Linked DNA regions of Cricetulus griseus. Each later gene encodes a partner of the first gene's protein in a complex. Links are inferred from orthologs where the notes say so. Each region holds a gene or a part of one and is shown in the gene's direction. Other genes may lie near its edges. The genes, in order: histone H3.3A, Asf1b and Zmynd8.

Region 1 (3,741 bases):
GCCTCTTACAGCGACAGCCTTAAGCTGCTATGTCACAGTCTCCTTCCACAGCGATCTTCCGAGGAGGGTGAGGCCGCTCGCTGAGCGGCCCACTCGGGCTGGACCGGCAGCCGGGCCGTGCGCAGCGACAGCTGTGCTGCACATTGTTCCCGAGGCTCACAACACACAGCCATCTTGCATCAAGAACGGCGGCCCAGGCAGGAGCGGGTGAGCGCGGTGTCGCCGCCGCCGCCGTCGGGGAAGCAGCGCTGGCAGTGGCCGCCCCGCCTCTCCCGGGTAGAGTCCGCGACGGGCTTGTCCTCAGGCGATTTGGCCCGGCCCTCGGACGCGCCCGCGCCCCGCGCCCGCGCTAGGCGGGAAGCGAACCGCGGGGCCCCGCCCCTGCCGCGCGCAACGGGCGCGGCCCGAGAGTGGGCGCGGGCCTCGGGCTTCCACTCGCCGGCTTCCGGCTCGGGCGCCTCGTCCACCGGGCGCGGCGACCGCGGGGCCGCGGCCTTCTCCCCGCCCCACGCGGGCGGGCGCCTCGGGGACGCGCGCGGGGGCGGCGCCCCTCCCCCCGCAGGCCGGGCGCTGGCCCGCGGCCCGCCCTCCCATCCCCCACGGGCCCCCTCGGTACCCCCCCTTATCCCTCACCCCCCCACCCCCGGGAGCCGGGGCTCCGGGGGCTCCCCGTGGCGCTGGCCCCGGGCGGGGAGGGAAGCGAGCGCGGGCCGGGCCGGGGGCGGGCGGCGTCTCGGCGGGCCCCGCGGCCCCTCGGCGTGTCTTTTGTGTTTGTACACACCGCGAGAGGCGGCGGGAGCCGGGGGCGGGCGGCGCGCGGGGTGGGGGGGCGGGGGTGGAGGAGGAGCGAGCGCGCGCGCCAGCGAACGGGCGCGCGGGGGGAGGGGCGGGGGGCGGGCGCGCGGGCCCCGGGGCGGGGCCGAGCCTTCCCTCCATTGTGTGTGATTGGCTGGCGCGGCGCGGGGCGGGGCGGCGTGTGTGGGGGTAGCCTCGGTGTCAGCCATCTTTCAATTGTGTTCGCAGCCGTCGCCGCCGCCGCCGCCGCTCTCTAACGCCAGCGCCGCCTCTCGCTTGCCGAGCTCCAGCCGAAGGAGAAGGGGGGTAAGTTTCTCCGTCCGCCCGCTCTCCCGGAGCCGGGCCCCGTCCGCCGGCGCTGCCGTAGCGGGCCGCGGAGGGCCCCCGCAGCCCCTCGGGCTCGACCCTCAAACTTTTTGGCGCAGACACGGAGACGGGGAGCGAGTTTCCCTCTCCTCGGGCGGCGGCGGCGGCGGCGGCGGCGGCAGCTCTCCGTCTCCGCCTCAGCCCGGCGGCGGCCCCGCCGCGCCGCCTGCCGAGCCTGCTGGCCCTCCCGCGCCGCGGGCTCTCCTTTCTTCGGTGAAATCCCGCCCGCCGCCCCTTCCCGGGACCCCAGACCTTCACCAGGTCCCGCGCGAGCCCCTCAACTGCCGCCTGCGGGTCCCGGGCCGCAGTTTGTCGGGCGCGAAATGGGTAAAATCGCCGTCGCTTCCCGCCCCGGGCGAACTCGCTTTTTGCTGCCTCCCCACAGTTGTGGCTGAGCTTCACCATCTTGTCTCTCTTCTCTGGTCACCGACCATGTTTCTTTTCCCCCCCGTTTCTCTCTTCCCCATTTTAAAATGGAAGGAGGAAAAAAATCTTAAGCACCTTTTTTTTTATTTTTTTGCCTTTTTTGGAGGAAAAAAAAGGAAACTTGATGCATATGAAATTCGAAATAACGAAAAAAAGAACTTTTGCATTTGGGGGAGAGCGGCACGTGGCAGGGGATGGGGTATTTTTCGAAGGGTTTGCTGTTTGTGTCTTTGGAAGGGAGTCGGATACATTTTGCAATTGTTTCCATTTTGTGCTAGCCTTGGGGAGCCGAGTCGTTCGCTGCCGGCACGGGGCGCCCGGGCCGGGCCGGGCAGGGCAGGTCGGGGACCCGGGACCCGGGGACCCGGGGGAGGCAGAAGCAAAAGTTTATGTGGTGCTGGGGTGGGCCGGGCGGCCGGTGTCGAGCGCTAATTAAGACTGGGTGCGGGGCAGTCGGCTGGCATAGCGAAGCCCGGGAGGACGGGCTTTGTGGAATGCTCGCTGGCAATAGCTGTTGTTCTTGTCTTTCGAGACGCCTTTTTGTCAACATAACCGTAAAGATAGAAACCTCAAGAATGTTTACAGATATTTACAGCAATCCAACTGCCGAGCGCGAGGCGGGGGGCGCGAACGGGGGGGGGACGCTGGAACCTTTTTTCTTTTTTTCTTTCTTTTTTTTTTTTTTGGCTGTAATTTGACTCGACCTTTCTGTGGTTTGTGGCTTCTTTCGTTTGACTTGTTTGTGATCGAATGCTTGCAGGCATTTCTAATTTCTACTTTAATTAAAGAAATTGAATTAAAACCCATTGGGGTGGTCTCGCTGGTTTTGGCCGTTTGTCGCTTGGAATTGGCGTTATGAGTATTAATGCTGACAATTTTCCGGTTTGTTTTAAGTCGTATTTGGGTAGTAGACCTAACCTGCGCCCTTTCAAATTAATTATATAACAGCCTTTTTTTTTTCTCAGTAATGATAGGTTTCTGGGATTTTTTTTTTTTTTAGGGGGTGGCTTCTGGCAAGAAAATGTATGTTTTAGTTGAATATGATTTTTTTTTTTTTAATACTGGTAGGTAAGTAAGGAGGTGCTCTTACCATGGCTCGTACAAAGCAGACTGCCCGCAAATCCACCGGTGGTAAAGCACCCAGGAAACAACTGGCTACAAAAGCCGCTCGCAAGAGTGCGCCCTCTACTGGAGGGGTGAAAAAACCTCATCGTTACAGGTATTTATAAAAGGGGGAGGAATAGGACAGTGTCTAAACAGTATGTCCATGTAATTTAACAGGAAGGTGAGGGAAAGATGTTTTCCTTCTGAATGTTTACTGCTGCTTGAAAATACACGTGCATATGTTCATTTATGAATACATGTAACTTAGTGTCAGGCTTTATTGATAACATTTTGAAGTTGTAATCTGATCTAAATTCTAAAGGGACGCGGTTCTCAACTGGTAGTAGGACACATTAACATTTTAACCATTAGCATTTTAAGTATGAAATGGTTTCATATGTGTATACAGGCACATAAAAATGGTTGTGTTTTTACACATACTTTTTGTTTTGGTTGACCCACACTTGTGGTAAAGTGTAGTACCTTAGGGAGACTAGTAAAGAAAGTCTCTTGGTCATAATTACTTGGGTTTTTCCCTCCTTTACTCCCTCATTTTATTTTTATGTAAGCACTGTTGTTAAGGACATCTGCCATTAGAGGGCATAAGTTGCCCAAATTTGCATAGACAGATTGTACAGTGAACAGCTCATAGAGTTGAAATAAGTCAAATTTAGGGGTTAAAGGATTTGTTTTCTCTCTTATCTTTCCCACTCTCTTCCCCCAATAAAGCTTCCCAAGTTAAAAAAAAAAAGTATTATAGACAATGACTTAATTTTAGAAAATTTTTCATGTGGGAGAAACAATGTGAAATCAAGTTTTCAAATTCAGTCATTCATGACTGGTGATACAATACTGGGAGATCAAATACGAGTGTTTTAAGTGAATCGTTGTAAATTATGTTGGTAACTCTTTTAGGACTTTAAAACCTAAGGCACAGATGGGGCAACAGAAAGTGTTGCTTAAACTGGGAAGATGTCTTTATTGCCAGCCTAACTTCGAATATGCTCCCAAGTCTTGTTTGTTTGTTTGTTTTTAAGGCGGGGCTCACTC
Region 2 (3,741 bases), on another chromosome or scaffold:
CACCACCAGCTAACTTCTGATTGGTTCCTTGCCCCAAGGCAGGCTTCTGACCTCTTAGTGACTAAGGCAAGGTCAGGCAAGCACGTGCTAGGCTGTTATGGCTGCCGAAACACGGAGCTGGTCCCTTCAAAACATGTACAGGAGTCCAAAAATTTCTCACTGAATAAAAGGATGCAGGATAGCTCATTAGCATTTTTATACTGATAATGTTTGAAATTAGCATTTTTGTTCTATTGAGTTAAATGTAATACTAAAATCAATCTCTCATCGTTTCTTGGCCTTTTAAGGATGGTCAAATGTGAAAACCAATTTATCTATTCATTTACTTCCCCAAAATCACTGTGTAAACCAGGCAGGCCTTGAACTCGCAGACGTCTGCCTACCTCAGGCTCCTGAGTGCTGGGATTAATGGATATACACCGGCACTCCAGGCGTTTTGTTTTGTTTCCTTTAAAAGACTTATTAGTAAAAGGTCTGTGGCTAGCATTATTTCTCACTGGTTGTATGTGTAAGAGACTGTGGCAGGGTTAGGGAGCCAGAGGGGCATGGAGTGAAGACCGCATTATATCGTCATAAATAGTGGCAGTTAACTTTCTTCTGTTTTTGTTTTTTCCAGACAGGGTTTCTCTATGTAGCCCTGGCTGTCCTCGAACTCAAGAGACCCGCCTGCCCCCGCCTCCGGAGTGCGCCACCACCCCAGGCCTTCGCAGTGAATTTTTCAACCGGTTGGAAAACAGGCTGGAGAGAGGATCCAAACCCTGGTACGTCGACGAACTTCAACTCCTTTCGGACCGGGACTCCATCCTGGGTCCCCACTCGCTGCCGCGCCATCTTGTCTCAGGGGTGCTCCAAATGTTCACGGCCGCTGTCCTCAAGGCCAGGAGTCCCTCAGAGGAGCTCCCGGAAACGCTCACCAGCGGACAAACGGAGGCCAGAGCGCCGCCATCACGCTTGCCTCTTCATGCTTTTCACTGAGCCGGAGGGCGGCTTCCAGCGCAGCCCTCCTTGTGCCGCGACATTAGCCAATCACATCTCAGAAGCCTACTGAAGCCCCGCCCCGTGGTCGCTAGTCAATCACGGCGAGTTCTGGCTCCCTTCTTTCAGCGCTCTTAAGTAAGAGTCGCGCGCCACCGTTCGGCCGTTAGTGGCTCTGCTCTCTGTGGGGTGTGCCTACCGGAAGAGCAGAATGAGGGGGCGGGTCACGCCGATGCGGTAACCCTTGGGATTGGACAAGAGAAGTTCCGCGCTCTAACTCCGCCCACCCCGGCGCAAGATATTCGAGTCGGAGACGCTAGGGATTGGTTCCGGATGGACACTTTGCGAAGCTAAAAGATGATCGTTCCGCCTCCCGCGGACCGTGAAGAGGAAGCTTCTCTGATTGGTCCGCGGGTCGAGGCGCAAACCGGAAGAAGCCTCAGGATTGGCTGGCGGGGCTCTCGCGCCGTCATAGATCCTTAGCGGCGATTGGCTGGAGGGTGGAGTCAGCTATTTGAAGGCCGCGCGCGGACGCGAGACGCTCTTTAGAGAAGAGTTGGAGTCGCTGAGAGGTTCTCTGCCTCGGCGACCTCCTCTTCCCCAGCCGCCATTGGCTGCGCAGGACACCGGAGAAGGCTCCACTGCAGCTGTGACCCCCTGGCGAGGTGATGGCCAAGGTGTCGGTGCTGAACGTGGCTGTCCTGGAGAACCCGAGCCCTTTCCACAGCCCCTTCCGGTTCGAGATCAGCTTCGAATGCAGTGAGGCCCTGTCTGACGGTGAGGCTGGGCCTGTGCAGGGGACCCCAAACCCTCTTGCCCTCATTTTTGCCACTCCCAGCCTCCCCGGGAACTTCTCCACTCAGAGATAAGCCTCCGTGGTCCAACTCGGTGGATAGGATCCAGTGCACGGTAACCTGCACTGTCTCGTGGAGGCACCCCTCGTCCTGAACCACTTGTCCTTGGCACCTTTTCTTTGTAGTGGTGTAAGCCTCCATCTAGCGTGTAAGAGACCGCGGCTACGCCTTCTTCCCAATGGCTAGACTCCATTTTCATGCCTATTTCCCCATAGAAAACCTCCCATCTATTCTCTCTTCCATGGAAACCCAACCTCCAGTACCCTCCCCCATTTTCCTTATGGACGGCTTTTCTACAGACCAGCAGACCCTCCTCTTGCTACCCTGTCTGCCCATGGCAAGACCTCTTCCACCCCATTTGTCTCCCATCGATACCATCCCCAGACATCTCCACATTTGTCCCTAGCAACTCCTCCTAGCCAACTGTAACGTCATGGCTGTTGTCCAGACCGGGGCCTCTCTTTAGGTTAGTACCATATCCTATGCATGACCTTCCCCCGGGGAGGGATGGGGTCTTCTGGCTCTTTGTAGATAACTTGGCCTCCCCAGCTCCTGGTCTGGGATTGGATGAACACTCGGGAAAGGGGTGCTACAGCCAGGCAGGCCTCTGCCAGTTTTGGGATTTCTACCAGCTTCCAGCAGACTCAGTGTAAGGAATCCCTCCTTCCTTTTGATGGGCTGACCTGGTGGTGGTGGGGGGTGACTGACCAAACAGGGATGGGATTCAACTTCAGTCAGCTGGGGAGAGAGACCGCTGGCCTTTGTGAATCTTTCACAGAATGACTTCATTCATCTGCAGGACATAAAGGTGGACGTGGCTGTTAGATGACAGGACAAGGGCCACAAAGACCAAAAGACCTTTGAAATAAGTCTGTGAACACATTAACCATGAGGTCACTTTGTAGTCTCAGCTCCACAGCAAGGCAATGTGTAGCATGTTTAATAAAAACCCAGAGACAGATATTGGGGTTAAAGCTGAAGATCAGAGAAGCAAAGTAGCCAGCCACTAGCTCTTACCTCTACCTCAGACAGAAAGGGTGATCCTGTCCTTAGATTGCATGTCCAGACTGTACTGCTGCTCAGACTGCCTCAGACTGCACATCCTTGTCTCCTCCCGCCTTATAGTCCTCTCTATTGATGGGATTAAAGGTATAGGATCCCAAGTGCTGAGATCACCTTTCTTTGAGCTCTGTTTCTCTTTCAGACTGGCTCAATTTTGTGTAGCTCAGGTGGCCTCGAACTAACAGAGCTCTGTCTGCTTCTGTATCCCAAGTGCTGGGATTAAAGGTGTGTACCACCACTGCCTGGCCTCTATGGCTAGCTAGTGTGGCTAGCTTTGCACTCTGATCTTCAGGCAAGCTTTATTTGTTAGATCATAAACAAAATATTAACACTAGGCAAGTCCTGCTTTTAGGAGGAAACACTCCTCATTTTCCTACTGAGGGTTGAAAGATGTAGCAGCTGAGGAGGTGGAGCTCTGAGAGGCTAGGTTGTGAAAACTAGTGCCTCTTGGTGGCTGTGGTTGGTGTTCAGACAAATCCAGCCACTTCTGTTCACCTGGAGCTGCTATAATGTGTGCTTGGGGTGGGCCACTGGCTGATCCTCTCCCTAGTTTCTCCTTAAGTTTAAAGGAATCTACTTGTGGCTTAACTATAGAATAAAGCTGGGTTAAATCCTTGCTGGAACAAGGTAGGGTGTAAATAAATAAAATATAGGGTAACAATGTGGGATAAGATTTATTTGGAAGCCAAGAGGAGACATAAATCAATGGAATCACAGTTCCCAGATGCTGAGAGAGCAGGTTTCAATCAGCCTGAGTGTGCTCTTTGCAAATAAAAATGGTTGCATGGTCATTACCTAATATTACTTTGATTCCTTATTTATGGAATTAGGACATCAAGGCTAAAGTCAG
Region 3 (3,741 bases), on another chromosome or scaffold:
ATTGAAACGAGTAGAATTATAAGCAGGTCTGAGAAACTAGTTAATATTTTACTGGGGAGCAGAGCCAGAGACCGGGGTAGTGGGGGGAATCGCCAAGTGTGAGGCTGTGTGTGAAGTCGCCGTTCCCTCTGCCTTAGGGGACAAAAAGAAGCAGTTCTCTGTGGAAATAAATTGAAGCAAGAACCCTTGCGAAGCCCAGGGGATTTGTCAGCCCACCAAACAGGGCCCAGTTCCTCCCCAGAACACACATACAGGAGCAATTATGGCCGAAAGGGCTAACCTGTGGGTGTGTAGGCCTGACTATAATGGAGGTTCTTGTTTCCTGGCCGGGTTTGACATCGTTCTCTGTCCCTCTGGATTTAAATGGCTTCTCAGACACTGCCTGTATGCCCTGGATTCAGAAGGTCCACGCCTCCTCGGGAAGCAGAGGCGAGACAGCAGTTAGCTAGCTCTCCCTCTTTCTTTCTGCATCTGCCTGGGAGAGCTGCAGCTGGTATTTTTCCACAGGCCTTTTCTGCAATCTCAGGGCCTAGTTTTTCCCAGAGAGGCCCAGAGTCCGAGAGAGGGTTAACAGGCAGGAAGCTGAAGGCATCACAGACTAATACGGAAGTCAGATTTTTGTTTAACTGACAGGTTTAGCAGGCCTCATTGGTGGGGGAGGGAGCTGGGAAAGGAGGGTCTGTATGTAGATGGAGGCCTGTGGCCTGCTAGCAACGCATTTGGCTTTTCTTAGGGTAAGCCTGGAGTGGGTTCTCCCCTTGCCATCTTGACAGACAGACCCTTTTGGTTTTTCTTTGAGGACTGACGGGGGTGGTGAGAGGCTGTAGACTCCCAGCCTTGCAAATGGCTCTGTGGGCCTGCTTTCTCCAGCAGGCACTTTGACCATGACTAGGCAAACTTGATCACTCCTCCCCACAGCAGAGGCTCCTTTCACCTCCCGGGGACCTGGCTGCCCCTTGCTGATTTGTTGGGGGCCTCCCTTGGGCTGCCTGTTCCCCCCTCAGCCCCTCAGAGGCCTGCATCTGGCCTTGTCCCTCTTGCTCCTGTTTCCCCGGGGCTTTCCACCCCTCAGCTCGACTTTCTCCTTTGAGACCCACTCAAGCTGGCTTGTTCTAGGAAACGAGCTGTTTTCCTCCTTAGAAAACGACTTCTGCGTGGGGGCAGGTGTGGATGCGCCCTCCAGCCCACCCCAAAAGGGCTCTTCCCAGTGGCATCCTGGCCTCAGGCTTTGCTGGAGCAGGTCAGGCTGGCTGCACAGGTTTGCCAGGACCGGGGAATCTCGTCAGGGTGTGGGAGAAGTGCGTGCGGGGGCCCCTTTCCCAAGTTTTTCTTCCTGCAAAAGGCCTAGCTTGGCCTGTCTTTTTCTATGCACAGGATGGCTCTTGCTCACCCGAGCCTCACAAAGATAATCGCTCAGGAAGTGTTTCAGCCAATCCGCGGCGACTTTACACTCCGATTTGCCGGGGCAGCCAATCGGGGATGAGCTTTTATTAGGCGGCCAGATCATCAGCCGAAGTGCCAAACCCTTTTTCTGTGAGAACTAGGAGCCTGTCCTCCATGTTTTATAAGTATTGACATTACACAGTTAACAATGCATCCACAGAGGTAAGCTCGCCTTTTTAACCATCTTTTCCTCCCTTCCTCTGAGTCATCCGACTTGTGGACTAGCAGTGTGATTTCTCTGTAGCCTGGCTGTGCCACACTCATCCCCCCAGAGCACTTAGGCTAACTTGGGACTGTTTAGAGAGATTTTTTTTTTCCTTTCTTGGGTCACATGGCTAAGTAGCCATTAGCCATAGCTTGATTTTACAGCCTGGTGAGGGCCTGGGACACCTTTACTCTGACCAGGACATAGAATTTCTGCAATAGTTTGAAGCTAGATCCTGGTATGCCAAAAGAGTAGCTATTATTTTATTTCCCCTTCTTTTTTTCTTTTTTTTTTTCTCCCTTCCTCTCCTTGTCTCCCTGTCTCCCTCTCTGAACAGTCCCCCCCACCCCCACCCCTGCACTATTGTCTGCTCTGTCACATGCTTGCTGGGGGAAAGAAATTGGAAGGTAAGCCAGAAGGTCTTCTCCCAGCACTGTTCAGGACTGTGTGTGGCAGATAGCAGAGCAAGCAAGCCTGCTTCTCCAGAGAGGTTCTGGGAAAGGCTGGGCTAAGTTCTGACAAGACAGGATGTGTGTTTGTTTGCAACAGAACCCAGGCCTGAGCAAGAGCAGAGCTCAGAGAGCCAGGCTGGCTCCTGGGCCTAGGTGGGTGGTGGCGTGTGGACTCTCTCCTCTTCCTCTACAGGGCTTCGCACTTAACAGCTATGTTGTTCAGCCTTTTTCCCTGACTTAGCTTTGGTACAGAGTGTTCTTCAAGCCAGCCTACAGCCAGCAAATGGTTCTGAAAGTGTTTTCTAGCCTCTGAGGGAGTTTGTGGAGTAGGGATGGTGCCTGGGGGGTGGGGTGGGGGTGGGGATGGGGAGAGATTTTGAATAACATCCTGCAGGAAAAAAAACCCTGGGAGGACTCTGACTCCTTTAGCTTTCTACTTTTGCATGCTTTTCCATGGGCTAATGTTTCATTTATCCTTGTTTTCTTCCCCTCTTCTTTTTTTTTTTTTAAACATTATATCATCTTCTGGCCTCAGTGATAGAGTGTGGAGGTCATAAGATCATACCTGAGGCTCATGACAGCATCTCATACCCAGCTACTGGGTTGTGTGGTGGTGGTGGTGGTGGTGGTGGTGGTGGAGGTTTTTAATAATACCATGTAACTGTTTACAAAAAAATTTTCCTTTCTGATCAAGTCCCAAACGTGCCAGCTTGTTCTCTCTTCCTAACTGGAAAAGTGAGACGGTTGCTTGAACGTATGTTGGGTAAGTAAAGCAATCCATCTCTGGCTGTGTAGCAAGAGTTCGGTGAACATTTGGGGTCTGTTGTAATGGGGGAGGTGGCTTCTAAAGAGTGTCTTGAGTTTAGGTGATGGCTTGAATCCACTGTTGTTCCTGCTAACCTGCAGTTAGGACTGAAGATCTCACTTCCTGTTTACCCTCAGCTGGGGAGGAATTGCTGGGTCCATTGTGACTTGCAGCTAGACCTTGAATTGTGTCTGGCCCTTCTGAACTCTGGGTAGGTGATCTGCTAGTGAAATGGGAACAAAACTGTTTGTTCTCAGGGGTTCCAGAGCCCTACACACAGGGTATGTGCCTGTGTGTGTGTGTGTGCCTTGTGTTGTCGTATATAAGTTTTACGGTGTTTACATCTGGTGTAGAATCCTAGCCACTCCCAAACTAGGATTGGTTTAGGGCTCACTGACCACTAGTTTTAGCTTCTTTTCCCCCACGCCTGGTCCACACTTTTGTGCATGTTGGCTTTTAAGGGTGCAGCTCGAATTTTAAAGTGACAGAAGTCAACTTTCTCTTAGCATTTATCTTCAAGGTCTGCCTGGAAGCTCACAACGCATATTTTCAGCTTTGAGATCCAGCCAGTTTGCATGGAAGTGCTGCCTGTGTTCAGAGGTGGTCTTAGGCCAACTTCACAGACTCACTAATCTTTTTCTTTTAGTGTTCAAGCAACTCAACCTTTGACATCAGTTGAAAAAGGTTCATTTAGTAAAGAGATACAGACTGAATTATGGACTGGGCAGTCTGTGTGAGGCAGGCAAGCATCTCTGAAGTCAAAATACAGATGGGGTGTGATGCTCTTAGTGCCCTTGCCCCACACAAGTTCTGCTATTCTTTCTTATCTTGTTGCT

What was found.
Region 2: the proteins of histone H3.3A (region 1) and Asf1b are in contact, whole or in part, in a crystal structure (PDB 7VCQ), measured with the Homo sapiens proteins. The link is inferred for Cricetulus griseus from reciprocal best matches to the Homo sapiens genes H3-3A and ASF1B. Residues at the interface, in NP_001365972.1 of Homo sapiens: Asp107, Leu110, Cys111, His114, Ala115, Lys116, Arg117, Lys123, Asp124, Gln126, Leu127, Ala128, Arg130, Ile131, Arg132, Gly133; in NP_060624.1 of Homo sapiens: Ile43, Val45, Ala48, Glu49, Glu51, Asp54, Thr87, Asp88, Val92, Thr93, Val94, Leu96, Arg108, Gly110, Tyr111, Tyr112, Val113, Asn114, Glu116, Asn138, Ile139, Leu140, Asn143, Arg145, Thr147, Phe149.
Region 3: the proteins of histone H3.3A (region 1) and Zmynd8 are in contact, whole or in part, in an NMR structure (PDB 7CWH), measured with the Homo sapiens proteins. The link is inferred for Cricetulus griseus from reciprocal best matches to the Homo sapiens genes H3-3A and ZMYND8. Residues at the interface, in NP_001365972.1 of Homo sapiens: Ser32, Val36, Lys37, Lys38, Pro39; in NP_001350670.1 of Homo sapiens: Asp84, Asn87, Asp88, Gly98, Gln99, Val100, Leu101, Leu117, Thr118, Ser119, Glu120, Glu122.

What each region holds. Positions count from the first base shown.
Region 1 is NC_048598.1:13,474,946-13,478,686, forward strand, and holds the start of histone H3.3A, read left to right. Parts: upstream 1-956; 5' UTR 957-1,101; intron 1,102-2,655; 5' UTR 2,656-2,678; coding exon 2,679-2,806; intron 2,807-3,741. UniProt on the Homo sapiens protein: Variant histone H3 which replaces conventional H3 in a wide range of nucleosomes in active genes. Constitutes the predominant form of histone H3 in non-dividing cells and is incorporated into chromatin independently of DNA synthesis.
Region 2 is NC_048596.1:160,459,699-160,463,439, reverse strand, and holds the start of Asf1b (histone chaperone ASF1B), read left to right. Parts: upstream 1-1,486; 5' UTR 1,487-1,643; coding exon 1,644-1,752; intron 1,753-2,254; exon of another isoform or gene 2,255-2,295; intron 2,296-2,360; exon of another isoform or gene 2,361-2,396; coding exon of another isoform or gene 2,397-2,478; intron 2,479-3,741. UniProt on the Homo sapiens protein: Histone chaperone that facilitates histone deposition and histone exchange and removal during nucleosome assembly and disassembly. Cooperates with chromatin assembly factor 1 (CAF-1) to promote replication-dependent chromatin assembly.
Region 3 is NC_048599.1:13,536,283-13,540,023, forward strand, and holds the start of Zmynd8 (protein kinase C-binding protein 1), read left to right. Parts: upstream 1-1,449; 5' UTR 1,450-1,591; coding exon 1,592-1,605; intron 1,606-1,768; exon of another isoform or gene 1,769-1,886; intron 1,887-2,036; exon of another isoform or gene 2,037-2,055; intron 2,056-2,794; exon of another isoform or gene 2,795-2,863; intron 2,864-3,741. UniProt on the Homo sapiens protein: Chromatin reader that recognizes dual histone modifications such as histone H3.1 dimethylated at 'Lys-36' and histone H4 acetylated at 'Lys-16' (H3.1K36me2-H4K16ac) and histone H3 methylated at 'Lys-4' and histone H4 acetylated at 'Lys-14' (H3K4me1-H3K14ac).